Lepisosteus oculatus: one gene and its partner. The protein of the gene in region 2 binds, or shares a complex with, the protein of the main gene of each other region. Links are inferred from orthologs where the notes say so. Each region holds a gene or a part of one and is shown on either strand. Other genes may lie near its edges.

Region 1 (15,684 bases), on a different chromosome or scaffold from region 2:
AGGAAAATTTAACAGTATCCGAGAATAGAAAAAAAATGAGATCACAATCATTTGTTCTAATTTACATAAGAAGAAAAAACAAATGGTTATGTGAGCTGCTCTTTTCATTAGTTTTTCTAGATTTTGGAACAATTCTACAGTTCATTTGATCCTTCAGTCTTTACCTCTGGTCATCTGTCTCTGGTTCCACCAAGATATTCTCCTGCTGTACTTTCACTCGCAGGAACACAAATGAGTCCAAGCTGGGCTCCGGAACTGATGTGCGGCAGACAAAACATAAGATAAGTTAATACTTGGAACTGGAGTGTCAGTAAAAAAGAAGGATGACCTTCAGGGCCCTCAACTTCAATGGCAAACTGAAAATGTTAAGAAAACTGTTTATAAATTCCACCCCATCTTGCTCATTTGATCTCTATTATCTAATCAAGGGTTGAATCTCATCCAGGAACCCAAAATGCAAACTCCATTCTTTATTATACAGTACCCTCAAGTACACCTGAACCTATCTGGCAAAAGTACCGTATGTTTTAAAATAAAAAAAAATCTGTTTTCTCTTGTTCTCTTTTAAACATTTTATGTTCACTGCAGCACCAGTTATGCACAAAGGAAAAGTCATACTAATGTGGAAAATACAGCTCTCAAAGTACACAAGAAAATGATAACGGTCTGACAAAGATACACTTTCTGCTCCATTTCTTGCAATGAAATTGAATTTCTGTGGTATGCTGTTTATATTGAACACATAGCTGTGTTGTGCTGGAAAGAATATTTCAATCCCCTTACCAGATTTGGCAAAATCCACTGTCTGCAGGTTAGGGGGCATGTGTCTTAGAGCCACATTCTTCAGGTAAGTCTCTGTGTTGGCCATGTATCTGGACCAGAGAACACATGTGTGTCAGTATATGCATACAGATCAAGTATTCTGCCTGGGAAACATGACAAAACTACAGTAGGTTACATATAATGGAATTACCCTGTTTGTCTACAACACTTTTACAGAACTAGTAGAAACCCACATCGTACAAGATTAAGATACACCAGATGCTGCTTCATCTGCCATTTATCTTTTCAAATGTCACAGGAAACATAACTCCATACCAGAGGTCAAGTGCCAGTCGGAGGAGAGGCTCGTCATTCACCACAAGTGCACAGTGGACAGCAGGGGTGCTAACTCATGCCCTCTTACTTACCCTCAGTAATACTCAGCCAATTCAAAACATCATTTTAATGTTACAGAAATCTGTATATAATTACATACATGTACAGTATACACTGAAGGAAAACTAATGTGTAACTATGCTGTCTGGGCTTGTTCTTTAACATTTTAGAGGTTAACATTCTCTCCCTTATTATTCAAATATGTATGTACTAACTGGATTTTCCATTACAAAACAGCTGAGAGATGCTCTATTATAAGTATTAAAGTATTACCAAGTATTTATTTAAAACAATATTGCTTAATCTGTGACATTTTGCATACATTTATACAGTTCTGGTGGCTAGACAAGCAGTTACGTAGACAAACTTATCAACTAGAGGAGATACTGTTGTGGCCTTCAATTAGGACTCACTCTTTAGCAAAGGCAAATTCCTCTGGGGATAAATAGGATGGGTCACCATCTGCCCGAGACTTCTCCTTCTTCAAGACATGTGGAAAATACTTCTCAATCTGGAACAGCAACAGGAAACCAAGACTCAGCTGTGTGACGAGTTTGCCTCAAGTAACAAACCACAGCTCACTTTATCATCTTTATCACAAATAAGAAGTTGTTATAGTGGGAATACAAACAAATTAGATCAATCTGAGAATAAAATTGTATTCTCATAGACTTCTAGACCTGACAAAGATTCCACTACAGAATTCTGAACCTCCAAATGCCGGTTTATTTACCATACCACTCAACTTATAATTGGTTTACTTTACACCGGACATATTTCTTGTTTGGCTGTTAGAAAATCAGTTTCAACTATGTGGCTGCACAGGTTGTCCCCAAAATCTGTGACTCTTTGCTGAAAAAAGTTACTCTAATTTTAATTACTTAAAGCAACTTCTATTCGTTTTTTAACATAGATTCAGTGGAGCAGACCCTGGCTATTTGCTGGTTTCTCCTTCGATGATTCTCTTAATCGCAGTGTTTTGAGTCCACACCAATGCAGTGGTCAGAGTGGTTTGCATAACGTGGAATGATGTAATTAATATTTAGCACCAATATACAGTGCAGTCCGTAAGTATTTGGGAAGTGACACAATTTTTTTGGCTCTGTACTCCAGCACATTGGATTTGAAATGAAACAATGACTATGAGGTTAAAGTGCAGAATGTCAGCTTTAATTCGAGGGTATTTACGTCTATATTGGGTGAACCATATAGGTATCACAGACCTTTTTATACATAGTCCCCCCATTTTAGAGGACCAAAAGTAATTGGACACATTAACGTAATCTTAATAAAACTGTCATATTTAGTACTTGGTTGCAAATCCTTTGCAATTGATGACTGCCTGAAGTCTGCGACCCATAGACATCACCAAACGCTGAGTATCTTCCCTGGTGATGCTCTGCCAGGCCTGTAATGCAGCCATTTTCCACTTTTTACACTTACAGACTGTACTGTACACATGCTAAATTTCTGCACATATGCACTCAGATTTTTCAGCACTGTTCTCAAATTGGATCATTCTTATAGTATTGTATATTTATTTTTTGTGTTTTTATTTACAACATGGTATGCATCAATACCATCTAAACAAACTGCAATTACTAGTGAGCCTGGTTAATAAGAGGCAAAGAAAAGTAATGTCTCTTACAGACATGGAATTATTAGATAGGTCACCAAGAGGGGAGTTTTGCTTTTGTTATATGCCAGTAAAGAACCAACATACAGTACCAACAATAAGGGACATTAAAAGAGAGAAGACATAAAAAGTGCAAGAATTTCTGCAACACAAACCATCAACACATTAACAGTATATAATTTTAGATTTTTTGCTTTATTATCTTGTTCTCTATTACTTGATCTTAAATTTTGAATAAATGGAATAATTACTGTATATATAAATGACAAAGAGGGGTGGCCAATTAGCACTAACTTTGCATTTCTTGGATTTCCTTTAAACAGGAATTTTCAAGAACATAATCCCCATGAACAGCAAGGGGTTTAGTGTTTAAGTTACTCCTCTAACTTACTGTACTTAAAATAATGCTTAATTTTTTGTTACTGTCGCCTTTGAAATTTAGGCATATCTCACTAAAGATGAAGTGGTGATAAAGTAAAAATTTGAGGCAGCGATAAATAATTACATATAAAACCATTTTAATAAGTTTTATATTCAGGATGGTATTAATTTGATCTTGCATGAGCAATTTGTAAGGCCACGTTCGGTAAGTAAGCCATGTGAACAGATCTAGCACATTCTACTGTACATGTGTAATCAAAGCACTTTCAAATAAAAAGAAAGGAAGTGAAAAGACAGGTAGGAGTAGGTCATTATCTTCGGTTTGGATTTTTTGTTAAATTCCAGACATATGTAAAGACCAGACATTTCCTATAGTCTGTGACACCGCAGATATTCGTGCAAACCAGACAGACAAGTCAAAAAGCTGTGTTCTCACAAAGGAAGATATGTGAAGATGTCCTACATTGAGTTTGAATGCTAAAGAAAAAAAACTAAAGAAAGAAACAAGAAGAAAAGCAAGAGAGAATGAAAACAACATTTTTTCGATAATACTCTAAGAACAGCAACACATCTAACTAAGTTCAGTGTCAAACCTGCTCTCCATATTCTGCAAATCACTGGAACGGTAAAAGTCTAGTATCTTCTCTTGCTACTTTTGCAGAAAGTTTTTTTTAACACCAAACTTTTCAGAAAATAAGATGGACATACAATGGAGCTCTGGAAAGACAACTACTACTACTAATCCTGATGAAGATCATTTGTAGTACTACAGCTTATTACATTACTGATCTACAGCAGTCACCCTGACCTTCTGAAGACGTGAGCGAAGGTAGCTGCTCAGGACGTAGCGGATCCTGTCGATTTCCATGCGGTGTATGCTGGCCTTTAGATCACCCTTCTTCACCCGCTGCAAGTTCTCCTCCTGAGCCACAGAAATGGACCGGAAACATGTAACACTGAGACTACAACACAGAGCACAGCAACATAATACACCAAACAATGAACTGCACAGCATGTACACAATACACAACATAGACCCTGAGAGGGATAATACTACATGAAAGCAGCATGCAGAAACCTCTCCTTAACATACGCTACATAACACAAGACACTGTTAACCATGACATCTTACTTTCTCACCTTGAGGCTGTGTTTGGAGTTTCTGACACTGCTCTCAAATGGTTTAAGTCTTACCTCACTGATCACCGTCACTTGTCTCTCTTGGCAGATTAAGGTCTGAAATTTGGTCTCGTTAAGTCTGGTGTTCCACAGGGTTCGATACTGGGTCCCCTACTTTTCAGCATTTACATGTTCCCACTTGGTCAGCTTTAAAGATCACATGGCCTCAACTATCATTTCAATGCTGATGATATTGAAATATACATCTATACCAAACCTGACACTCATGTGGCTGTCTCTATTCTAATTGCATCTCAGACATAAAAACTTGGATGACTCAAAATGTCCTTCATCTTAACTGTGACAAGACTGAAGTCATGCTTATTGGCATCCCCATCAACTTTATAAAGCCAATCCTGTAACCCTATCTGTGGATGGTACTGTACTTGAGCTTCAGTCTAAATTGAAAAGCCTTAGGGTGATATTTGATTAAGGCTTAACAGCATATTGTTAAAACATCTTTCTTTCACCTCAGAAACATCACTAGACTACGCCCTGTGTTTTCACTAACTGTGGTTGAAAAGCTGATCAACACATTTGTCTTCTCCCGAATTGACTCCTGTGATGCTCTACTCGCTGGAGTATCTAAATCCACATTGAAAAAACTCCAGTATGTCCAACATTTGATAGCCAGAAACCTGACCAAGCCTAGTGCAAGTGATCACATTATTCCTATCCTGGAGTCTTTGCACTCTTTGTGGACTTTAAATTTCTCATGCTCACCAATAAGGCTCTGCATGGCTTTGCACCTCAGTAACTGTCTGATCTATTATTGCCCTACTCCCATCTCACAACCTTCACTCCTCTAATTCTGGACTCCTAACTGTCCCCAAGCCTGTCTACACTCTATGGGTGACAGGGCCTTCTCTTGTTATGCCCCTAAGCTCAGGAACTCTCTCCCCACGGATGTCAGAGACTCACCTTCTCTAAACTCCTTCAACTCCAGGCTCAAAACCTTGTTTAGAAGAGCCTTTATTTAACTGGTTCCATTCTTTACCCCTCTGCCCCTATAGTATTTAGTATCACTATCTACTTCCTACTGATTATTTTTAATTGTTGTTGCTGTTGTCATTCTGTAAAGCGCTTTCAGAAGCCACCTTTAAAGGCGCTATATAAAATAAAGTTTAATAATAATACTCATCACTCATTTAGGAAGAAACCAGACCTGCGTAAAGAAGATGGATCACTCTTAAACAAAGGGGTATAAATATATCAGAGAAGCATATCAGTGGAGTAACTGAGGACTAATTACACTAGGGAGGTGGGTCAGAGGGATTAAAATCAGGCCAGTTCTGGTATTTTTCTCGTACGATCAGAAAAGCCCTAAGCAACACTAACAACGAACTCCACATCTGTCTTCAACTGCATTTTTACATGCTTATACCTCAGTGCTATGGCATAAAGAACAAAGTGCAAGAACCCAAGGCCGCTGTATTGATGGGAAACTTATGACATTATAGGAATAACTGAATCATACTGAGAGGAGGATGACAGAGATGAATATAATGGATACACATAGCTTCAAGAAAACAGGCAGATTAAAAGGGTGTGGTGAGGTACTGCATACAGAAAAAACCTGCAAGCTAAAGAGCACAAACAAGAGGACACAGGTAGTTTTAGAATGTGTGAGATGTAAAACTTGACATTCTGAAACAAAAAAAGAACTCTGAAAGTAAGAGTTCAGAGGTTTTCATGAAGAAAAACATCAATGACATGGACGACATTATACAGTACAATGATCTCCAGTTTCACTGGGAGACTGTAGTGGAATCCCAAGGAGTTAGAGAACAGAATGCAAAGCACACAGCCTCACCATGTGAGTGAGTTGCTCCATTACGCACTCTACAATCTCAGACTTGTTCTCCAGGAGCTCAGGGGAGAACTTCTCATTCAGCCAGGCCTGCATAAGAACAGCACACAAGAAGGTCTGAAGTTACCGTTGAGAAAACAACAGAATACTTTACTACTTCTCCTTCTTATTCTCTTTATGAATTGGGCTATTTAAGTAAATTAAAGGCACCCTTTAACCATGCCACGTACCGAAACCAAAACAAGCACAAAGTTTACACTTGATCAAATATCAACACAAATATGTAATATGCAACGATGAATTTGTGATTTTCTTCTAAAGTAAAATATGGACAACAGTCTTCAGCTAGTTCTAATGGATGAGAGACAAGCTGCTGCGGCTTATGAGTATGTTCCTTTCTATAGCAGAAGCCAGTGGTAAAGGTGGTGTGAGGCAAAGCTACACATTTTCTTTACACTTCCCTGGAGAATTAATTCTTTACTACAAAGGAGATGGAACGATCACTCACTACCTCAAGCACCTATAATATAAAACTGAATGCTAACTGTGTAGAGAAAAATGAGAACAATGGATTATTTAAATTTAAACTCAATTTGTTTATATATATATATCTCAGATGGAAAGTCAAAGGTTGTTATTTATCTACAGTACGTGTAGCAGATGCTTTTATGAATAAATAAATTTTCAAGCACTTTTCAAGAGAGAGGTCACTTACTACAACAAACTGATGTAAAGGAGTGAGCACTTATAGAAAAATACTGTAGTAATGACAGCTCCTAAACAAAATTAAAACATGCACAGCAGATACATAATCAAACTAAATTTCTTCGTTAAATTATGGAATTACTGCGATAACGATCTTGAAAAAATGTTTTTTTTTTGTTTAGCCGAAGCTTCTACGAATATAATGATCGTTATTTCCTTTTGGCTATTGTGAAAAAAATCAAACATCAAAATTACGTTTCTGCATACACAAAACTGTCATTAGACTCGAAAATGGACTTTTGTTACTGTTTTTAAATAGCTTTTGTGTTTCGGACACTATGCTTCTACAGGTAAGACAGAGGTACTAAAATAAAAAATATATATATATATACATAATGACCTCTTCCAGCTTCTCGATTAGCTCTGCTGGGGTCATCAGCTCCTGGCTGTCATCTCCGCTCCCTTCGCTGGCTTCGGACAGCACGTCGGACATCACAGACACAGTGCGATCAGACAGCGGTGAATATCAAATAGTATGTTTCAGCTCTCGGATCTCGCCCTTATGACCGACACAAGTCCGATACTAGACATCAACAATTCTGAATAAACACTTGTAAATTTAGAAGAGATTAACGTTTATAACAATAAAAAGGAAACAGCTAGAGTACTGTATTTATAAATCCATCTTTGCGAAGCCTCCGAAGAACAATAAAACCATTCAAGTTACACTTATTTAATAAACAAAATGTTCCACTAATAATTAGTTTGAAAACTTCAAAATTTTGAAATTTTTTCTGCCTTTATAAACAAGATGCATCTGATACTTTTGTATACGCTACTCTGCTAGTCCTAAATTTCGCGCCACCTCGACAAAACGTCACTACACTGCGACACGAAACGAAAGTTAGCCGACATTCCCGCCATCTTTGTTGTGGAAAAAAAAACAAATGAGACTTTGGTCTTATATTAAATTATGTTATGATTATGAATGCCAGCGAAATGTAATGAAAGTTTAAAACATAATTCGAAATTAAATATCAAAGATATTTAGATAGTGTAGCGCCCTCGCCTGGCTTTGGAGCCGAAGAGCGCCCGGTTGGGGTGCACGGCGAGGGGAAGGACGGGAGTAGTAGTGGCCAGGGCGGGTATTAGGAGAGCCACTGGCCAGTGCAGCTGACCAATTGTTGAATAGGTGTACGTAGTCGCGAGATTGCCCGGACTCGTGTAATTTCCATGGTTTTGCACCCCTTATACACATGTACCCAATCACCACTCCTGTGTAACTGTACCCGAATTGACCCCAGTGTATTGTAGCCTGTTTATGTTTTTTTTCTCTCACTCTGTTGTGGCTGCTGTGTTCTCAGTTAAGAGCCTATCCCCTGTGTCTATCCTCGCCGATCCCGTCGCGTTACAATAGATAAACTTAAAATTAGGAGTTGTTTACCTGTTTTACTTTAATCTGATATGCAGTCACTTCTTTAGTACACGAGACTATAATGATTACAATTTACTAATAACATGGAAAAGGATACAAAGAAGGGGTTTGCTAGTTTAACAACTCTACCAGAATTCTAAAAGAAAAAAACATTAATTAGTGTAGCTTCCTTACATACCTAACTATTATTAGTCATGTCATTTCTGAGTTGAAGAGCAGTACACCACATAGCACCATTGTAAAACCTGGAATGCACAGTAAAAGTAAGTAACCTGGTATACAATTTAGGGGAAAAAAACATTGTGAAGGCATCAGGTTTCTGGTAGTATTTGAGGTATTGGTTAAAATTCATTTTAATTATTAACTGCAGTCCTCATATATTTTAAATGCATGCATACATCCTTTTAAAATGGGTATTAACATTGAAGTCAACGTAAACCGTTCTGTAAAACTACTGTTTTTAATTGATCCTTTTGCATGATACTTTAGGGACATAAAGAATCAAAACATACAAATGGTGATGAAGATAATGAGGAATATTACAAATGACAAATTTAAAATGAGCAAATGAATGTGGATACTGTACAGCACTCTTATACGACCTCTGAAACATTGTGTTCAATTACACCACTCACAACACACAGGTGCCACTGATATCTTGGGAAGAGTTCAAGAAGTTCGGAAGAGTAACCAGAATGTTCATTTGTCTCAATTAAAGTCTTATACAGACAAGGTTAAAGGAACTGAATGTCTTTCTGAATAAAGGGGAATTTTACAGGATTTAATTCAAGGATTCACAATCCTTGAAGGCCTTGACAAAATCAATTTAAGGGATTACCTCAAGTTGAAGTATGTAAAATGAACACCAGCTCATGAGAGGAAATTAAGAGTAGATCCGTTTAGGACTGAAACAGGCTGCAATACCAAAATTACTCAGCCAACATTTTGAAGCTGAGCATTTAAGATCATCAAGAAAGATGAGTTTCTTATGAGGATTAGGAACACACTAAACAATTTCTAAGTAGTTAGAAAAGTCAAATTGCCTACTATTGTTTGTTTCCTTTCTTATGTTTTAATGAGATTCCAGAAGCCATGGATGAATTATCCAATTTAGAGAGTTTTGTAGAGGATGAACTGGCTATGAAGTCTGCCTGAATTAAATCGTACACTGATCCTTAAGAAGTCCCTATTCATTATAAGCTCAGTTCTACTTTGGAGTAAAACAGACAATCCAAAACCATCCCCAGCTTCCAAATTCTAACATAAAATCATTGATATCCAACTTAATGGACTAAAACAGCAGGCTTCAGCTCTTCTTATACTTATCTCCTCTCCCCTCAGCAATTGAGAACTATATGATTCAGATCTTCCTTTAAAAGGATAATGCTCATCCTTCACGCCCTCATTCCATTAATGGAGGTTTCATCTAAAGGTTGAGGCAGTTGATATCCATGTAGGTAACACAGCCAAGATCGATCTCTGTGAGCAGCTTAGTCCCTCTGAGCACAGGGACGGCAGGGTTGAGGTTAAGCACCTATTACTCCCACTCATTCTTTTATGGCAGTAGAAGCTCAGCAATCTGCTTTCTGAGTCTAAGATGTGCCGAGGATAACTTTGCACTGGTACGTGGGTAATGTGTATTTGAACATGAAGAACTAAGTTTTTTTTTTAGAAGCTGGAATATAGAATTATTTGCAAAGCAGATATAATTAACAAGAGGATAGAAATCCCAGAAAAGGAAGCTCACCTTCTGTATTTGTCCCTCTGTATCTTGGACAGAGATCTCAAGGGGAAGTCTGTTACTTTGCCTTAAAAAGTACAAAGCTTCTTAAATACACAATTATGCATTCCTAAGCATAATACCCCAGTCATATTTTATTCTGAATATTGTGTAGAAATGTGGCCACCATTTTGTAAAAAAGGCACTGCTGCTCTAGAAACAGTCAAGAGAAAAGCCAGAAGACACAGAGAGATAAATCTGATTGGAGTGCCACCCTGTGTCTTCTGGTGTTTCGTCCAATGAGGCTTTTAATCACTAATTATTGCCCGTTATTCATCTGCTTACTAGTTTGGCCTTTTTTCTAAACTCAGTCCTTGGTATGAATAAAAATAAAGTATATTTGTAACATAACAGAAACCTTTTTCTGTCTGCCTCTCAGTTGAAGTGAATCCACAGCACAGGGGAAAAGATTTGTTTTGGAGATGATGAGTAAGAATGTGTCTATTTACTTAACATACAATATTATTGTATTTAGTTCTTCTTGATGCAATTGGCAAACAGTTTTTCCTTTCATGCTTCTAATGGTAACTAATGATTCCACTAGTGCTCCAGGTCTAAGTGATGAGAGATCTTTCATGCCCTCTTTAACCAGGTGACATCCAGCTCATGACTCGGCTTGGGTTCTGCTTCATCCTGGAAAAAATAGGAGGGTTTAGATATGGGCGGGTTACCCATCCCTGTAAAAAATGACAAATTTAAGAAACAGAAAACTCAATATTACCAATATACAAAACCAAACACTATTTATAGCTGCTTCAACATTTAGAAACTCTATGCACTGCACAGGTTTAATTAAGTCACAGTTAATATATGATAAAACCATTAGAGTCAAATTACCAAAACAGTAACCATGTAATAAATCACATAGTGAAAAAAAATCAACAAAGCAGATTTTGGTTCTTTAGAAGACAGCAAGAATATAGTTTTAAAAGTGAAATACAGAATTTAAGAGAGTAAACCCAAGAATACTAAAATTAATTTCTAAAAAAAGCAAGTGAACTCCAAGAAATACCTAGGATTTTTGCATGAAGAATGATTCTTCATTCACTTCTGATTGAAGAATGTTTATAATATTGACAATACATGATTACACTGGCCCTAACAGTACTTTATTCCTGTGGCATTTGGTCAGCAAGCAATTGGACAAATTCATCTTTATTTTAGTTTTTCCCCCACATGAAAAATTAGCTCCATTATAGTACATATAATATTCTAAAACATGAAATGTCATAAATGGCTGTTATCCATAATATCTATACAGTTTTTACAAGTCATTGAATCAGGTGACTTGTTTCTAGAAAAAAAATGCCTCTTAGAAATAATGACACAACCAAGATCACTAGTTCTAAGGGTATTGATCTTGTCTACTGTAGATTATCAGTATTGGATGCCTGTTCATATGTACACACAATTGTTACTTGTGGTTACTGTAGACTTTTACACTACCAAAGGTATCGAGCTCTTGGTGGACTAGCACTTTCATAAAACGAGTCTAGCATCAAATACCTTTAAAAATCTCTGTATTTGAAGAGGTTTCTGCCCTAGGCTGTGAGGAGACAATCTCAGAGACTCTAATTGCAAAGCTCTTACTCCATCTAAGAGCATTATGAGGTAATAGGCTTAGAAGGACACATTTACTCAATCAGCCACAGACACTGCAGAGAAGTACACATCAAAGATTTTCCCTTCTTGGCCCTTTTACCATACTACTACAGTATGTACTACTACATGTTTCACTATTAATCAACTTACTATTACAATATCCCCAAAACTATGGTACATTCTATGTTTATTATTAATTTAAGCTTATTATTTATCTTATTTACTTGACATGTAATTGGATGTGTGTATTTTACAACTATGAAAAAAGTATTCTTATTTCCTGAAATGATTGAGATGCTACACTTATATATCACCCTTCCATATAGGTGGAAATTAAGGAAGAAATTGTATTTGTAAAGCATCAAGCTTTAGCTTACAGCTTACAACTAATTACAAATAGGAATAGACTGATCCATTTCCTAACTGCTTTGAGCAATACAGAGTCACATGGGCAAGGCAAGATACATCCTAAATGGGATGCCAGTCCATCACAGGCCATACACAGACACAAATATACACACAATTACACCAGGGCCAGTATGTCTTTGGACTTTTTGAGGAAATCCACACAAACAAGGGGAGAACATAATCACACAGCTAGCACCCAGGTCCACAATTCAACTCAAGGCCCCAGGGCTGCAAGGCTACCACTGCGCCACACTTAGATTTGATTTATTCTTTCTGTTTCATCTTTACAATTTTGAGTTGAATTTGCAGCTTCCAAAGACTGAAAAGGATTTAAGTGTTGCACAATGGGAATCTTAAGTAAAATGTATATGTCATTGCAGCATGTTACTTTTCAAAATTGTGGCATTACTAACAGCAGCTTGGCAATGGTGTCAGCACACAACAGTGATTCACTGTTAAGGTGGAAAGGTTCAATTCTTAGAAGGTGCCTTGTGCACCTTCTAAGTAGAGTTTGTTTGGGTTTTCTCCAGGTGTTTTGGTTTTCTCCTACCCTCCTAAGAAATACCAAGTGAATTGTCATCTGTTATTTTTCCCAATTGTATGTATGTTTTCACATACTTGTGTGTGAATCTTGAAATGAACTGGAATCTTGTTCAGAGTGTATCCTACCCATTTTCTGCTGGATGAGACCCCCAGCTCACAGCAACCCTGTGAGCTGCAAAGCAGAAACTGTAATAATGGATGAATGGCATGTGTACTTAAACTAAAATTGGCTCAAAGCAGCAGAAACAAGAATTACTCTTCAATAAATATTAATCAGTTCATTACTGGGTGCATTTTCTTGACATTTGTGGGCTGTACAATTTTACTGGTGACCCTTGACCAAGGTTTGAAGACATCTGAACTAATAACTTTTGAGAGAATCTTAGGATACTTTAAAGAAAATAAGTGTATCACTTCAAAAATATTCCTTTTTGTAGCTGTCTCACAGCCAGTGATGTTCTTAAGTGAAATTCCACTTTCACAACCACTTTCTTTGTTTTTGCTACCTTGGAACTGCTGTTTCAGACTATTTCTCTTTCTTTTCATATGTAAAGTATCATTCATTTATCAGTGTTTAGGAATTATACTGACATTAAGAATAAAATAACTTTTATATTGCACTTTTATATCATGGGTTTGATACTAGCTTGATATGGCTTGTGTGTGGAATTTTTATGCTCTCCTAATGGCAAGGGAGCTGTTTCTGGTTTCCACCCACAGTGCACAGACATTTTCAGCTAATTGGCATCTCAAAATCGTGAGATGTCTAACAAAAGTATGTGAATGCACGTGTGTGTGTCCTATGATGGAATGCTGTCACATCCAGCTTTGATCCTGTCTTGAGGCCTACCTGCCTCATCCGATACTTTGGCAACTTAGTGTAACTAAAAGTTCATTCAGCCATTTCTCTAAAAGTGCCCAGAGCTTGAACCTCAAGCACCTGTCCAAGAAGCCTGTTTCAAACACCTGCAACTCTGTGTGTAATTAAATACTTCCTATTGTCTATCCTAAACTAGTTTCTAACTTTGATTCTTATTTCTCTGCTGAATGTGAAATAGTCCCTTGGCTTAACACTATTTTTGATCCTTAAGATCTTACATGTGTGAATCAAAGCTCTTAATCTCGTTTTTCTAAACCAAAGATATTTAGGTCCCTGTCTGTCTGGGTACAAACATGCCCTGAGATCAGAAATGATCTTTGATTTACACCATTCTAAGGCTTTTGAAAATGAAATCATAATATTAAAATAGTATAGTAATAGGTTCACCTTCCTTGACAAATGACTCTTCAAATTTACAGCCTGAGGGTCTAGGGATAACTAAAGGTGGTTCTTAGAGTGAAAGAGACTGCTGGGTCTTTGAGTCCACAGGTACTGAAACCGGAAACAAAAAACACTGGGTTACAGCGGGTTTAATCGGGTGTAAAGGGGAGCTAGAAGATTATCAAGCAACCTTAATGAGATTCATGTCGTCGAGGTATAATTAGAATAGTGACTGGAAAAGGAAAAGGTTGATTCAGAGCAAGAAGTTTAAATGATCTCCTCAGGAAATAAGCTTAGAAGTTACGTCAGACGATGCAAGGTGAATATAAGCTGTCTTCCATGGCAGCTCCACGCCCCGCTGACGGACGGACGGTTCGACTAGGCTCCTTGGTCTGAATTCGTTTTTTCTCCAGGTCTTTAAACACAGGCTGTGAAGGAAGAACACCATGTTGGCATCAAGAGCTCTGCTGGCGAAACAGGTAGCGGCTGTCCTCACCCGCCAGCCGGCGTGCCTGGCTCACCAAGGAGACTGGGGTAACTGGGGCAACACCAACGTCGCAGTGGTAAGTTGTAGGGGCATTGAGGGGTAAAGTGTTCTGAATGTGTGGAAGCGCAAGACATTTATTTATAGTCCCCTTGGTTATAATACCAAAGTTCCCTGGTGAAACCAACAAAAGTTTCCTACCGATAAAATGTTAAAATAAAAGTAATTGTTAAGTTTTTGGGAAAATGTAATGAAGCACAAAATGTATAGACGGAATCTGTGTTTGCAGAGTTGCAGTTAATTGAATACAACTTCGCTCCCCAAAGAGTAAACCAACCAGTGCAAACCAAGGGGAAAAAAGGCATTTGTTTCTGTTAGAAATAAATGAAAAGCTTTGTTATTTCCCCTGGATGAGTAGGGATCAATCGATAGTCAAAGCACTGTCAGGTATAAGAAGGAAAAAGTATATTTCAGTACATAAAGAAAAGATTTTACTCTGATCGTCGATTGAGTTTCAAACGCGTTTGAAGAATCCTTCGATAGAATGTAGGCTCATGAAGATTTAAAGACGCTGATACGTAGCATGGCCGTGTGAGATAACTGCCCTTTCAATTTAAGACAAGGCTATTGGTATTCAGCTCCCATAAGAACTAGCTCCAGATTAATTTGATTTTTAAATCAGAATACATTTATTTTAAAAATATTTGGAAATTTGAGTTTGTGTCTTTCTTTGGCGTCTAAAAAGTTCAGAAAATTCAGTACCCACTTTGGAATTTTTGGTAAAGTTCTCACTTTGAACGAATTGTGGCCCACAAATTTTACGCTCCTCTATGTAGAATCTAAATCTGGAAATAAGAATAGGATAAACTACGGCACATAAAATTATTATATCTAGTACTGAGTTTTAAAAAACTAATTTAAAGATTAGCATTTACTTGGGTAATTGATAAAAAGATTGTAAAGTCCTCTTTTTATGTGCAATTAAAGCTCTTGACGCGATTTTACTATTTTATAACTTTGTGTAAAGACATGCTCTAATTGTGTTAAATGTGGCCGCTTTACTGCGGGAAGATAGGAATAGGTTATTCCGCAGACCCCCGGGGAGACCCGTCTCCCTGTTCGCTAATCCTGTCATTACCTTTTAAATCGCGTTTAAATCGCCTCCAAAATACATCGCTCATCGGATTATTTTGTGGGTTGCTAGAAAGTGTCTGCCTGCAACGTACACATTTTGTATACTGTAGATAAACTAATCCATTAGTAAACACTTATTACATGTTGTTCTTCATTCTTGCAATTTAG
Region 2 (14,815 bases):
AAAAACTGGGGCCTAGATATATACAGGTCAGTTCATGATAGAAAATGATCAAAAATAGATTTAACAAGCAGCATAAGTGAAGAAGTGGTTAGGACCAGGTGCTCTTGTACCCTGGAGAAAGGTACCTCACAAACATTGTTCCCATAAAATGGCCTGCTCTATAAATGGGCTTTAAATTATCATTGTAAATGAGAATATTCTCAATTGTCTCAAATCACATCAAAATATCACTCAGCACTACTAAGTTTCAAATATTAAATTAACAGATACACATGTAATAAGAAAGAGCTCTGAAGACAATTTTAGGAACTGAAATTACGAAGTACAAACATTTAAATGGACTTATACCTCTGGGGTAATTATTTGGGGTTTAGACAAAAGGGCTTAGTAAAAGCAGTACAGTGTCAACAGCCTCCAGGTCCCATGCTCACCCTGCACTGTGCTCTTCCTCTCCAGGCTCTGCTCCTGAACCATCAGGTTCTGGCTCAGCTTCCTGCCCAGTGGAACCAGGGCCCCTGCATTTTCTCTTCTCCTCCACCAGGGGCAGCATGAATTCTATCCCTGGGGGCAGATTCAAAACTGCAAGTCAGAGACCACACTGGTGTGCAGGTATGCAAGTGTGAAAAAGTTTAATAACTAAACTACTCCTCGCTGGCCCTTGAGACAGAAATCACATTTTTATAGGTCAATTTACTTACAAGACCCATGAACTAAGATTTCACATGGAACGAAGAATGGAATGCAGCAGCCTTGAAGAATGAAGCTGGCAAGACTGGCACACTTACCCTCGCTCCTCATGGCTTCACGGAGCCCGAGCGTGGTGGGGGACAGCAGCGCTGTGATGCTGCGTGTGCCGCTGAGCCCGGCTGCTCTGAACAGCACAGTGAATTGGTAACTGCACAGGTAGAAATAAGGACACAGCCGAGCCCGGAGCAGGCTGTACAAGGACGTGACGCTCACACACCTGAAATGGAGAACCAGATGAGAACCAGCCTTTGAATGCGTTCTACAAACATTGAGAAAATATGATCAGTCTGGCCGGGCGACAAGGCCACTTTTGTGTGTCAAGTCAGAAAATCATGTAATTTAAAAGGAAACAAAAAAGGACATTTTCATGAAATAGATTTAAAAAAAAACTTAGGTGGTTAGTTTGGCACTGGCCTTTTTGTTTAAGTCTTAGAGCTTTCCACTGCACAGCCTATCAAAGCTCCCAGCTCTCAAGGGCACAGAGATTTCCTATCAAGAAGGCATCTTTAACAGCAGCACTCTCTATCATTTAAGGCAGTGGTTCTCAAACTTTTTGGACCAAGTACCACCCCTAATCCAACCAAAGCATCCAAGTACCACCTACAAGTCATCATCTCATAGGAACCCCAGAAATTCTCAATGACCAAAATGAGCGCGCATGCACACACACTCACACATACATATAACAAATATTATAATAATAAACTTTATTTGATATAGCCCCTTTAAAGGTGGCTTCTCAAAGTGTTTTACAGAAAAAAAACATTAACAACAACTAATAAAAAAGCACCATTTCAGTGAGAGGGGTGAGCCTGTTTAGTTGAGCAAAGCAGATGTGAATTAATTTTTCGAGCCTTGATACAATTCACAACAGAGTCTAACAGATATTAAATCGTCAGGCATTTTCTTGACGGCAAAGGTCTCGCGGTGGATGTTGTAATGCGTACATTAATTTCTGGAGCAACCTCTCTAATTCGTGCAACTACACCGTTATGTCGGCTTGTCATTGCTCTAGCACCGTCTGTACAAACTCAGATGCATTTTATCCAGTCGAGGCCATTCTCTTCGATAAATTCATTCAGAAGCTGAAATATGTGCTCTCCTGTAGTTCCTGTTGGTAGCGGTTTACAGAACAGAAAGTCTTCATGGGACATACCCTCAAACTTGTATCTAACGTAAACAAGCAAATTGGCCAAATCGACTACAGACTCATCTAATTGCAGTGAAAAACATCTGCTCATCTTAACGCGCTCTATCAGTGTACTTTTGATGTAATCCTTCATTTCAATAATTCTATGAATGGCTGTGTCTTTCAGGGGGAGGGGGGCAGCAGGTCAAGCTGTTTAGCAGCTTTTTTTCTACACATAATACGCGTCGAATTTTTTGCCAACAGTAAATAAGGTTCTTCAAAAATAGTGTACCTTACCTGGTTTTGCAATCCGCAAGCTTGCATTTTTCAGCGTTTCCGTTTTTATTTCCGTATTTATTTAAAGTTTTTATTTGATGCGCATAGGAACGAAACACAGAGACGCTCGGTGTATTTTTCTCAAATTAGAACAGTTCTTAAATATTTTTCTGTTATCACGCTTTCGTGTGCTCACAAGATTACCTGCATTCGTAGCACGTATTTCTATGTATTCCTGTGTTTACAACGTTGGCATTGTTCCAAAATCATGCACATTCTCCTTTCTCCCTATTTGCTGGAGATACAGTAGCTTTTTTTAAATACAATTGGTCACTTGCATCCGTAGCACGCATTCCTATAGAGTGGTATAGAACTACAGAGTATCTCTTGTGTCCACTGAAGTATTAGCACGCACTGTATCGTAGTATGTAGGCTGCATATTCGACACGTATTAAAATACAAAATATGAAAACCCGTCCTGATTTTTCAGCGCACACGACACAGTTCCAGGGTCATTTGGCGTACCACCTGGCGGCACTCCACGTACCACTGCCGGTACGCGTACCACAGTTTGAGAACCACTGATTTAAGGTAAGAGAATGCAATGCTTTTTGGTCACTGTGGAAAGGGCTTAAGTCAAATTAACAATCACAGTTACGGTACCCATAAAAATATGTACATAAATGCCCGAAAAAAGTAAGCAACCAGCAGACAGACTGTCATTGCCACTCACCACTCACTCATCAGGCTCTGCTGCAGTGCTTCGTCTTGGGCCCAGGGAGCGCTCTTCCCAGACAGCTTGCGCTCAGCACCAATCCGAGGGAAGAGGGGCAGCCAGGGCAGGGAAGGGTGCTGCCAGTACACCAGGCTCTGCTGGAAGGCACAGCGCAAATCTGGGCTGTTCTGCAGTTCCTGAATAAAGCAAGACACACATGGAGTCAACATTAGTGAAACAAGTAGGTACCCCTTCAATGTACTCGAGTTTCCCTTGAGTGGGGAGTTACAAAGCAGAAAACACAGGCAATATACAACTGGGCAACAACTGTCTGCTCTGTAAATTGTTTTTACTGCATTGTGCAGCACTGCAGAGTAAACGTACTTACTGGATGTTTACTGCACAGTGGGCAATTTTCAATGGGATGTTTTGGATGCCAGGCATTGAGTTCCCTCCTCCTGATACACTAAACACTCCCAGACAATTAATATCACCACTCACTTCTATCATCTACAGAAATTATCAACAACTGACCCACTGCTCAACAGCTACCCACACTGCCACCTCCTACAATCAAAAACAAGTCACTCTTAGCCAATCTCTTCAAATTGAAAAAGAAATTCCTGTCCCCCCCCCCCCAACGTTGCAGGTTATGAAATTTGTGGTGTGTGGACCCTCTGTACCTGATTGTGGGACAGCAGGTTGGCATGGGTGGCACGGCAATGCTGGACCAATCCCTGGGCCTCCTCCTGTGCTTTGAGGTTCTCTGCCCAGGCAAAGGGGCGAGGGGAGGTGAAGAGGAGACGCGTCTTGAGGCTCCAATCTGGAGGGAACTGAGTGCAGGGAGTGTCGGATGCGGCCGCGGTCACAGCTGGGACCTCAGAGTCCTGGGAGAGAGGGGATGCGGTGAGGTTATTTGTACAGACAACTGCGAGCGATCACCATGTCCCCCATTTACACTAGACTGTTGCAAACATCAAGCCAAACAAGAAGATTCTACTATTTTCTTTCTCAAGCCCAGAGGTTTATCAGGCTGGAGCTCCTCCCAGGTTGCCGAAGTTAAACTGGTCTGGGGGAAAATGGCTGTCCTGAGCGTGGGAGCACAGGGATCAGTTCCAGTTTTCAATCCCAAACCCCTTTTCTCACCAATTCCAATTCCTTTTTTACATTTAGGGAACTGGAACAAAAGCGGAACAAGAATTGAAAAATGAGAATGAAAAATGCCAATCCATCACAGCGTTAGTACTTATACCAGAGGTACTAATGTATACAGTACTGGGGGACAGGAATAATTTGGGAAACAAATTGTTCCATGCAACATCAATGTCTACAGGTTAGGAAATGCTTCTGGTTAAGAATCCAAAGCACTAACAACACTACTTTCTACAGACTTTACAAAATGCATTTCAACAGTCTTTGGAAGGCAAAATACCCTGGAGTAAAACCCAACGATCTTGTAGTCGTATCTTACAATTCAGGGTAGCTGCAGCCTATCCTAGCATGCAACAAGTGCAAGGCAGGATACACCCTGGATGGCACCGGTCCATCGTGGGCACACACTCACACCACGGCCAGTTTTCCCACTAGCCAATTAACCTACCAATATGTTTTGGGACTGTGGGAGGAAACTCACATGAATACAGAAGAACATACAAGCTCCACACAGATAACACCCCAGGTCCAGAATTGAACCCAGGGCATTTGCACTGAGAGGCAGCAATACACTAACCACTCCTGCTTAGGAGCAAAACCATCATAAACAAAAACATACTGACCAAGTAAATGTGAGGACGAGCTGTCTGTTTTGAAAACAGCTCTCTCTCCAAAAGGGAATCATCTTCTGGAAGAGAAAGTTCCACCTGGAAATTAAAAGAAAAAGCAGCTACATATCAGGTGCAAAAGAGATGTCACCTTCACTGACTGCAGGCAACACCCTCATTTGAAACTGCCACTAAGAGTGGACATTCAGAGGCCATGACATGCCAACTGTCCTACTACTCTCCCAGTGTGCATTTTATTAATCACTTGCACTGTTGCACTCAATGTAAATTCCTATACTACACCACCTAAACTCATAAACTCTGCAGCATATTTTGAAAATATGAAAAGATGTTCATTTCTAAACATTGGGTTTACTTGCATAATGTAATTTTTCTTATTTAAAATCGCATCAGGGTGAGACATCACCGATTCTAAACACAAGTGATTACGCTGGTGTAGTGTATTAGTAACACTGCATTAAGAAAGGGACTTCTTACCTTGAAGGGTTCTCGGCTGTGCGTCTCTGCAAGAACACGCCGTGTGCAGAGGCCGCGTTCCAAGACGCTCAGTCCCTGTGGACCGTTCTCTCCCTCGGCCTCCACAGGGGGCTTGCACCCCGCCGGTCCGTCCCCCCCCTGGCAGTCCTCCACAGCCCTCTTTTTCGGGCTGTTGTACGTGTTCTCGATGCTAGCGAAGGGGTTCCTGCGCTTTTGGCCACCCGTGCGCACCGCGGAGCCCAGAAGGGGTCCCGGAGAGAAGGGCCTGATCCCGGAAAGCGCACCCCCCGGACTGGCCCCGGAGCTGCAGCCGCCAGAGGTCAACACTTCGCTGCGGGAGCGCTGTCGCTGCCTCCGCAACCGCAGAGTGTCTGCAGGTCTCTTGAAGCTCGGAGAGTAGCCTGCGTGTTCAGACATGGTCGCTTTCGATGCTACTTCAGTTTATTTTCTAAAACAAGGTATCCAGCTTCGCCAACTTCCCTCGGTGTGAAGCATGTAAGTCTTCACCGTCTGTAAACTACAAATCAACCCCGAATTAAAGCGTACTTTACCCGCGCAAAGCTGGTGTGACGAGCAATTGAGATTTCCTGTTTTTTTTTTCCTGTTACTGTTTCTGTACTTCCAACAACTGAACCCCGCCAAGTCGCAAACCTTCAGATCGCCTCTCTATATGAAAGACAGCACATACCACCAATTACGAGAAAATGTACTCCTAAAATAAGGAATACAAAAACATTTTAAGAACTAACTTTTATCGCGAACAATGATAAATTCCGTCCTCTTTTTATATGACGTAAGAGTTCCAAATCTCTGTATTATTTCGATGCTTCTTCACTCCATCTGATTTTCTCTTATTGCTCTGTGAGGACAAATTTCGCGCGTAATACAAGCACGCCACAGTACACTGACGTAATGACGTCACTCTCCCGGTAATTTCCTGGGCAGGTCCTAGAGCGAGATGTCTACGTACGCTCTCCCGAGCTTAACATGTGCTTGTGCTGTACGTCCAGTTATCAACATTGTAGTGAGCGGGCAGGAGCTGGATATATTGTATGTTTTTAATTCAGACAAAATAGAATAGATTGATCAATCAACTAGGATTTTGGGTTCATATCTGGAAGGTTGTTCACATTTCTAGTGAGTTACTGCTGTTGTCACTTTAGGCAAGATACTTCAACAAATTGTTCTAACAAAATATCCAGTTATATGAATGAGTGAAAATGTCTATTTATAAAATTGTCAGCCAAATTAAAAATATATATCAAAGATACTTGTCAGCAACAAAAATCATGTACATGTACAGTTTATGTACTTTTATTTATTAAATAAAATTCGTTAAATGCGTTATGCTTTTCATTCCAAAGGACCTAAAAGTGCTTTATGAAGGAGAGGGGACTCCTAAAATTAAGGGCCTCTAGGAAATTCTGAAAGAATGTATATTATTACGTTGGCTGACAATTTTATTAAGAGACATTTTCACTCATTAATGTCTTTGGTGGTCTCCCATCTCTTTTTTTAAGGGGCAGCTTTGCTTAGCTCCTGAAATATGATTAAATCGGGCTACAGATAGTAGCTTGATTGCACTCCTAGAAGTAACAGAATTAGTATGAGTAACGGCATTTACAATATATTTTAAATCCACCCTTACAAATCGATCCCAAATTAACTGTCACTCGTGAAGAGCTGTGTAAAATAGAAAATACATATTCAATTCAATTCAATGCATTTTTATATAGCGCCTTTCTCATCAAGTTTGGCCCAAGGCGCTTCATGACATATGACTTTAAAACAATCACCACGTTCAGGGTATTATTTATACTATTTCAACTGAAAAACGGGGAAAACGTTCTTCTAATTTCTGTTACCGGAATCCTCCGATCTTTTTACATGAAAGACTGCATACGATTGTTATATACACGCCATGACATAATTTGTCCACTAGATGACGCAGTTTCTCCGTACAATGCAACAGATTGCGTTACTCAGTAAACCGGTTCATTCACCCGTAGAGAAGTACCCGATTTTGAGACAACAAGGGAGTGTTAAAGGCAGTATCGCTGTGCCAGGCCGGGTATTCGGGAATAGAGCTACACTGTGCAGCCAAATTTTGCTTCCCATTTTTTAAAGGGATTTTACAAGTTCAAAAGTGCAGATTAAAAAGATACTATCTAGATGCAGAAAAGCACTGCATAATTAAAAATGTATTTGTATAAATATTCTTTCAAACACAGTCTGGCAAAGTAATTCAGATTATGTATAGTTACACGTCTGCTTCCCCTACTGTCAACAGGCATCAACAAAGTGCCAGCTTCCAATATGCTTGCGTTTTCTTGGCAAACATACATCTAGCTAACAAAGAGACGAAAAGTATGGCTTTGGTTGAATGGAAGTCAGATTTGTGGCAGACTCTCACACCCTGTTTGTAAACACAATGTCTGAGCAAAGTTCCACACTGCTCACCTTAGTGTCACACAGCTCCAGATGGGACAGAGTGTGGTTGCCTATGTGTTTTTGTATCAGGTTAAGGATATTGTAAATTATACATCCTTTATGCCAGCTCTAACAGTTCTGTTAGTATTGCATAACAGGAGGACATCTGAATAACTGCCCCCCAGCTAAACATATGGAAGATATGTTGGGAAGCAAAGTGCTTGGCACTTCCTGACTGGAACATGTGAGGGTAGACCAGAGTCCCTTGTTGTTTTGTAGTTGTCAATACGCACAACCCCCTACACACACTCATTCTCGCTCAGGCAGCTGACACACAGTTAGCAGCCACAGTGGTTTCGCCATCATTAAATCTAGTTTGAGGTTCAGTTCCAGCCTGACTCTGTGGTCAGGTGAGGTTGGCATGTCGCTTCTGTTGAGTTTAACCCTGACAAGTCTGTGCTGTGCTGGGTTGGGCTCAGATGTATGGAGCTGGAAAACACGCAGGCCTTGACACAGATGATTTTGTTTTCTGAGGGCCCTGCCAACCGAAGCTGCCCTCACCTATTTTTACCCTGTGAACAAAATGTGTGATAGATGGGTCTGTTGGTCTCCTCTCATTTGTAACTTTTTTTAGTAGTAAGGATTGCAGCCTGTGGGTTTTAAAGACATTTAGAATGTGAGGAAACTATGATTTAGTCCTAAAGGCTATGCTTCTTCTTCATCCTTGGTAAGAGTGCACATTACGATTAGTCCCCACTGCTGTATCTGCCTGTCAGGAACAGTCACTCCACCTCCGTCCTGGGGAAGGGTGGTGCGGGCAGAAAGCAGGTCTGGGCTTGCCGAGCATGCTGTGTGTTGAAAATTCCTCTGGAGTTCAGGAATAGCTGTGGAGTTTGTGGGAGGAGGTTGGGGGTGAAGAGATTGGCATTAAGTCAGAAACCCACATGTTCCTGTTCCATCAAGGCAAAGTGACATTGCTGGGAGAGAGGGAAAGTTGACAGAGGCAGGAAAGGAGGAAGAAGAGGCAGAGCAACAAAGTGGGAAGGACAGTAAGGGAGGCAGGAGGGTGCAGAGTGAAGGTGACACACTCAGTAAGAAAGGCACAGGGAGAGGTAGTGTTGATCACACCTGGCCAAGACAGAAAAGACAGAAGAGTTCAAAGCAGAGGATCCAGAATAATCCCGGTTCAAAAAGGAAAGGCATAGACAGATAGTTTGAAAGATTTATGTATCTTCAGTCCTACATAGAGGGGATTACAAGGTGACCTGCTACAAAGTATTCGGAATACTGAAGGGCATTGGTAAAGTTAACCCAATGGATTGCTTCATACTTAGCTAAAGAAGAAGTGGAATTTACATGAAAATATGTGTCTAGGACTGAGGGGGTGAAGGTCTCTGTGCAAAGGGTGATGGGCATGTGAACCAAGCTGCCAAGTCATAATGTAAGTTCTCCAGGAAGCTGATCCCCTGGGATTCCCTGAAGAGCAATACCCCTGGGAAGAATCCCTGATGATCTTTTCAGATCAAAAGCCACTCAATGGACATGTTAGCTAGAACGGTCTTGTCTTTTTTTGTAGCCTTCTTAATGTGTTTCATAAATGCTCCAAGATCTGAGACCTGCTCTTTGCAATCAAAACACAGAGATGGACAAACAAGTGTTAGAAAAGAAAGGCAAAGGACACAGGAGCATGGTTCCAGCTACACAACTGTATTTATATTTATAAAATAAAATTAAACTAAAAAATACAACAAAACAATAAAAAAATATTTCCAGAAGTGAAAAAGCACAGTGTTGTGTAGTAACATAAAGCCTCAATGACTTTTTCAGGCATTCATTTACAATCAAGGACTATTTACACAAAGTGAGTTCTTTCTGTGAGTTCAGCCCATTGGCCTCAGAGTGTATAAAACGCCAGGCAGCAGGAGGGACACAGCGAGAGAATATTCTCACAGCTGCAGCCAGCAGGAAGGAGAGGTGGCCAGTGTGCTGTTGACCACTCATGCCCTGGGCTTGCCCTGTACCACTTTCATTGCGTCACAGTGAAGTCTGAAAACACAGAGGGTCTTAACCAGTCCTTCAGACAAAGACAAGCGTCTCCTGCAGCATTTACAAGGATCATTTAATTACCAACTGACTAAGACCTGGGAGGAAATGGTTCTTTTATTTTGTGCACTTCATCTTGTAATTAAATGAATTCAATAATTGAAAGGTGGGCTGGAGTGAGACCCATCAGTCACTGCAGCCTGTGTAGGAATAGGCTCTCTCCCCACAATACAGCAACCTCTACCATGACACAGAAGGCTTAAAGGCATCAATGGCTCTCAGAGTTGGTTGTACTGTACCAGAGTGGCTCTCCATGCAAACAAGGAGTCCAGCTCGTGGACCTCAGAGTAATAAGCTCCTAACCTTTTCAGGAATCTATACCTGTCTGCCCTGTCACATTTCCCTTACAATAGCCATAACAAGATCCCATACTGATCATAAGACCAGTTGTAGCCCAAATGCTATCACTAATCCCTGCATAAAGCCTAGCCTTTACTTTAACCCCTTAAAAAATCTTTCTTGATAACTCAGGAAGTCAATCTTCCATCTCTTTTTTTGAGTAACACAAAATACCACAATTCACTACCGACTGTCAACCAAAAATTCTTAAAAGTTGGAAAATGCTGACATTTAAAGATAAGGCTTACACAAAATTTTGAGACTGGGTTTTCTGGAACTTGTAAAGGTGAGCCCAATCTGGACCGATATCCCTCTACTGCCAGCCCAACTGCGTACTGCACCATTTCCTATATGTTATGTGTTACATTATCAAATATTAATGCAAAATTGAACATCTTTCACAAATTCCCACTTGCTCTGCTCTGTTTTACATTGTGCTGTCATCTAAGAATGGATGAATCCCAAAAACAAATTAATCATGTTGGGTTTTTGGAACACTGTCCAGACAGAGAATGTTTGCAGTTTGATTTTCTATGTGATACTGAATAGATCTTTTTATATGCACACGCGATTTGTACCATTCACTCACGTCTCTCCCTGGCCCCGATGTGAAAGGGCTTTTGTGGTGTGACACCTCTGTGGGGTTCCTGCACTCAGGAGCAGTGACAGCGCTGGCGACACTAGAAGCAAACCAGTACCCTTGCACACCAAAATGTCTCTTCACAGTCTATCACATGTTCATCATTCACAGTTTCTGTGTTTTCTTCTTTGCAGACTTCAAATGATGTTATAATAATTAAGAATAACAAGAACAATTATAAAAAACAGCAGTACATTCAAAAACAAGAAGAAGAAAACAAATCATTGGTTTTTCCTCCTTTACATCCTCCCACATTGTTCCCCTGTTGCTAGTCTTCACTATTTACAATCTTCTTGATACAAAAAGAATAAATTCAGTGAGCAAGTGGAAGTGCAAAGTGTTTGGCCACAGGTTCTCCAACCCTGTCTGGGAGTGAGCATGAGGAGGGTGTAGGGATCAATATGGCCGCCACACAGCCTCTTCCAGACGGCCTGCGCCAGTGGCCATGTTGGTAGGGGAGCTGCTGTGACTTCCTTCTGTCTCCACTGCTTCACTTTGATTGGGCAGGGAAGGATTTAGCAGGGCGGAGCCTGTGGATGCATTGGTGCAGGGAGGGAGGATGCGAGGAGGAGAACGTTCACCCCCAGACATCATGGAGAACTGGTATGAGCCGGCAGCGGTGCTGTAGTACAAGTGGTAGGGGGGCGAGCTGGTCTGGAAGGCCCCAGTCTGGCCCTGAGAGGAGCCCCCAGGGTACGGTGGGGGCAGATAGGTGTGGTAGCGTGCGGTGCCTGTCATGGCTGGCATGCCGATGCCAATGGCGGTGGTGACCGGTGTGGGGGTGTAGGTAAATGCTCCAGGGTAGTGCATGCGTGGGTCAGGGAAGCGACTCTCTGGCAGCGAAGGCAGCGAGGAGAACTGGCGCTCCAGCCCCACCCGGGGGTCACTGAATGCTGTCAGCTCCGAACCTAATGATAAAGAACAGAGGTCAGGGGCCATACAGCACCAACACTGCACACTTTCTTTAAACACAGAAACTCCAGACCAAATTCCAAACATGGTACTAATCCTTGCCCTTGGTTATGGCTATGAACAGGGTAAAAAGGTGAAGAGTAAGGATAGGATTGTGGTAGGTAAAAAAAAATGTATCTGGATTTACAATTTAGAAGTGACAGTAACCTAACTGTAACTGTACACAATAAAAACACAAAACATGAGAACATCAGAAAAGTTGCAAAAAGAGGAGACCATTCAACCCATCTAGCTTGTTTAGTAGTTAGTAGATAACTGATGTGTGACTCTTTATGAAAGAAGCCAGAAAACCAGCTTCAACACCATGAGTAGGCTGGTTATTCCATATTCTCACAACACTTAATGTAAAGAAGTGCCTCCTGTTCTCAGTTTTAAATACATTTCCTTTTAGTTTACACTAGTGTCTTATGATTCAAGTCTCACTGTTGATTCAGAAGAAGGAAACTGTACTTTAATTTTAACCCTTGTTGTGTAGAACACATATAGGTAGATCTAGGGTATGCACCTATTAAGACAAATTTCCGTACAGGAATAAAAACAGTCTAATAGTGTTAAAGATCAGACCCACTTCTCCTGCAGTTGGATAAGCTACTTCCAGTTGGAAGATTAATAAGCAAAATGGATACAATCATACAGAATATCTGACAAATTGTTCCATATGCAATTAAAAAAATAGATTAAAGATAGATGTCTGCCATAACTAAATTTACTGATCAAAATCTAAAAGCAAGATATCTTTTATATCTTCCTCCATCCTCATAAAAAATCCTTTGAAGGAACAATTCTAAACCTTACGTTTAGCCATAACACTTTTTTAACACTAACTCCATAACACTTACCCCAGATCTATTCCTTACCCAGTCCAAAATTTGCTGTAGCTGTCACCTCTAACCTTAAACCCTGATAAATTTCTAACCACAAATGAAGCTCTCCTCTGCACCTGTGCTCCTATAATGTTATAATGTTTCTTTATTAGCCCTATACAATTTCTTGCATTAGGAATGCGTCTTTTCGCATACCCCAGCTTTTTCTCCATGGAGACACAGAGACAGAGACAGGGAGAGAAGCTTGGGGTCAGAGCACAGGGTCTGCCATTGTACAGCACCCCTGGAGCAGTTAGGGTTAAGGGCCTTGCTCAGGGGCCCAACGGAGTAGGATTCCTCTGACAGCCATGGGATTTGAACCAGCAACCTTCCAGTCACAGGCACAGATCCTTAGCCATAGAGCCACCGCTCCGCTCCTGATCATAACCTTAATCCTAAACTCAGACAGATCTCTAATCTTTAATCTCATACCCAGCTCTCACCTGTATCTGTGCTGCTGATCATAACAATAACCATAAATTCAGACAAAATCTCTAACCTCATACAGTACCTAGTCCTCTTCTCGACCTCTGCCCCGTCTCTAACAACTATTAGTTTGTTCAGTCCTCACCTGACAGCCGGCTGGAGAGGTCAGTGAGCGCTGACATGCCGCTGGCCCGTCCAGGTGAGATAGGCGTGGCTGGGTGGACGGAGGGGGTGGAGATCTGACCGAGGTAGGGATAGGACTGCTCATAGGTCCAGGAGGGTGATGTCTGCATCTGCCTGGAGTCTAGAAACAGGACACAAAATGTCACAGGTCAGGTTACTTTGCTAATTGAGTATGATATCTCAGCTCCCACATGGGGGCGCTGCCTATACAGTATCCTTTCTAGACCTGGAATGGACAATACACATTCAATTCAATTTGAATAATAATTTATTGTGCACATTTCACAGATCAACAGCAAAAGATTTATAATTATCTCCATGTTTTTCCTCCAGGTGAATTTTTCCATAATGATTTTAACTGGTTTCCTATTTTCCTTCTTTTCCATACCTAAGCTATGGCTTTCCATGCTTCAGTAAATCTGACTCAGGTATGCAAAGAAAGGTGACAAAGTGAAAAATAAAGACATCAGATCAATGCTGTGACAGAAACCTCCCTCAGTTGCAGCGCAGTGCCTAGGATCAAAGCTGTGACCACAGCCACGACAATTGCACAATGTGGATGATGGAGACTGTGGAGAGCAGGCAGTGTGCCCTTTCCTGTCATCTTAACAAGCTTTGCACCATGATTGCCTGCAGACTCCAGTCTGAATGACTAGATCAGAGAGGAAGTAAATTAAATACAGGGAATGTGCCTCCTTTAACTGTAGCCAGCCTTGTGAATTCAGAAAAGGGCCTGTTGCCAACACCCTACAGCCCTCTCCCTCTCTGCACTGACTCCAACCCTGAGCTCTGATCAGGAGTGGGCCTCACACACAGGATGAATGTGGTGAGAGGGGGGTGGCCCATTGCAATTGGCACAGCCCACCTCACCGTGCCCCTTTAGTGACTAACAGCCTCTTTCATGTCAAGTACAGAACTTAAGACAGATACTTCTGAGAGTGACACGCTAAATGTGCATTATAAACTGAGCAGGTTGAAAATATTAATGGATTTTCTTTTATGGCCCAATGCACAATCTTGGATCATCATGCAACTAAGCAAAAAAAAGGTTGAGATCAGACTGTGTCCTACTCATGTGAGCTTTTCATACAACTTTTATGATCTGACAATGTGCTCAAGAAGTTCAAGAATATAATCAGATTTTTCAAAACTGAAATATTTGTGGATGCATGACTTGTTTAGTTTAGCATCATTCTGGTTAGTGACCATCCATCTTCCACAGTGGCATTGCAGAAACATACTCCACTGTGGGAGGACAACTCCTACTCAGCCTCACCCAGCTGCTTCTGATTTTCGGCAATATGAAAGGAAAAGTAGAAGAGAAGGAAAAAAAACAAGGTCTTGAATTACTTAATAATCATTTCCTTTGGCAGATTTCCTGCTGCTATTTCTGGAAGTGGGATCAGAGGGAAAAGTGAACTAGGCAGGAAACGTCCGAGTCCTGCTCTGCCCTTATTCCTGATCTGTGCCAGGGAGCTCCTGCTGTACTGCTGCAGGCTGGCACTGCTCTCTCTTCCTCCCCACCTGACAGAAACTTGCAGACCCAGTCTCTCTGCCAGCCCAATGCAAGGCCAGTGCTTGCCAGGCCCCCTCGGGAAATGTGGAAGAGAGACAGACAGGAGGCCAAATCACTCCAGCTGTACAAAGACACCACAACCCCAACACAGACACAGATTTTCTACTATTTCCCTCCTTTTTTCCCAGATTAAAGGCAGAATGGCATACCACAGGAGT

The links.
Region 1: the proteins of protein downstream neighbor of son homolog (region 2) and gins4 are in contact, whole or in part, in a cryo-EM structure (PDB 8Q6O), measured with the Xenopus laevis proteins. The link is inferred for Lepisosteus oculatus from reciprocal best matches to the Homo sapiens genes DONSON and GINS4. Residues at the interface, in XP_041437004.1 of Xenopus laevis: Tyr8, Ser9, Pro10, Ser11, Phe12, Lys13, Pro15, Ser16, Ile18, Leu19, Ser22, Thr167, Arg168, Arg245, Arg469, Val471, Glu488, Thr490, Tyr518, Thr519; in NP_001084702.1 of Xenopus laevis: Leu19, Thr20, Pro21, Cys51, Glu54, Gln55, His58, Asn62, Arg65, Ala66, Lys67, Lys72, His76, Asn179, Leu181, Pro184, Thr186, Asp187, Glu188, Tyr192.

The regions. Positions count from the first base shown.
Region 1 is NC_090697.1:62,990,582-63,006,265, forward strand, and holds the start of gins4 (DNA replication complex GINS protein SLD5), read right to left. Parts: upstream 8,003-15,684; 5' UTR 7,363-8,002; coding exon 7,270-7,362; intron 6,255-7,269; coding exon 6,168-6,254; intron 4,098-6,167; coding exon 3,984-4,097; intron 1,670-3,983; coding exon 1,572-1,669; intron 873-1,571; coding exon 784-872; intron 256-783; coding exon 165-255; intron 1-164. Other genes in the region: gatd3l (ES1 protein, mitochondrial), read left to right, coding at 14,345-14,461. UniProt on the Homo sapiens protein: Required for correct functioning of the GINS complex, a complex that plays an essential role in the initiation of DNA replication, and progression of DNA replication forks.
Region 2 is NC_090708.1:28,964,207-28,979,021, reverse strand, and holds the start of protein downstream neighbor of son homolog, read right to left. Parts: upstream 6,038-14,815; 5' UTR 5,543-6,037; coding exon 5,126-5,542; intron 4,727-5,125; coding exon 4,643-4,726; intron 3,755-4,642; coding exon 3,551-3,754; intron 3,065-3,550; coding exon 2,886-3,064; intron 965-2,885; coding exon 786-964; intron 562-785; coding exon 432-561; intron 1-431. Other genes in the region: runx1 (runt-related transcription factor 1), read right to left, coding at 11,034-11,545, 13,044-13,202. UniProt on the Homo sapiens protein: Replisome component that maintains genome stability by protecting stalled or damaged replication forks.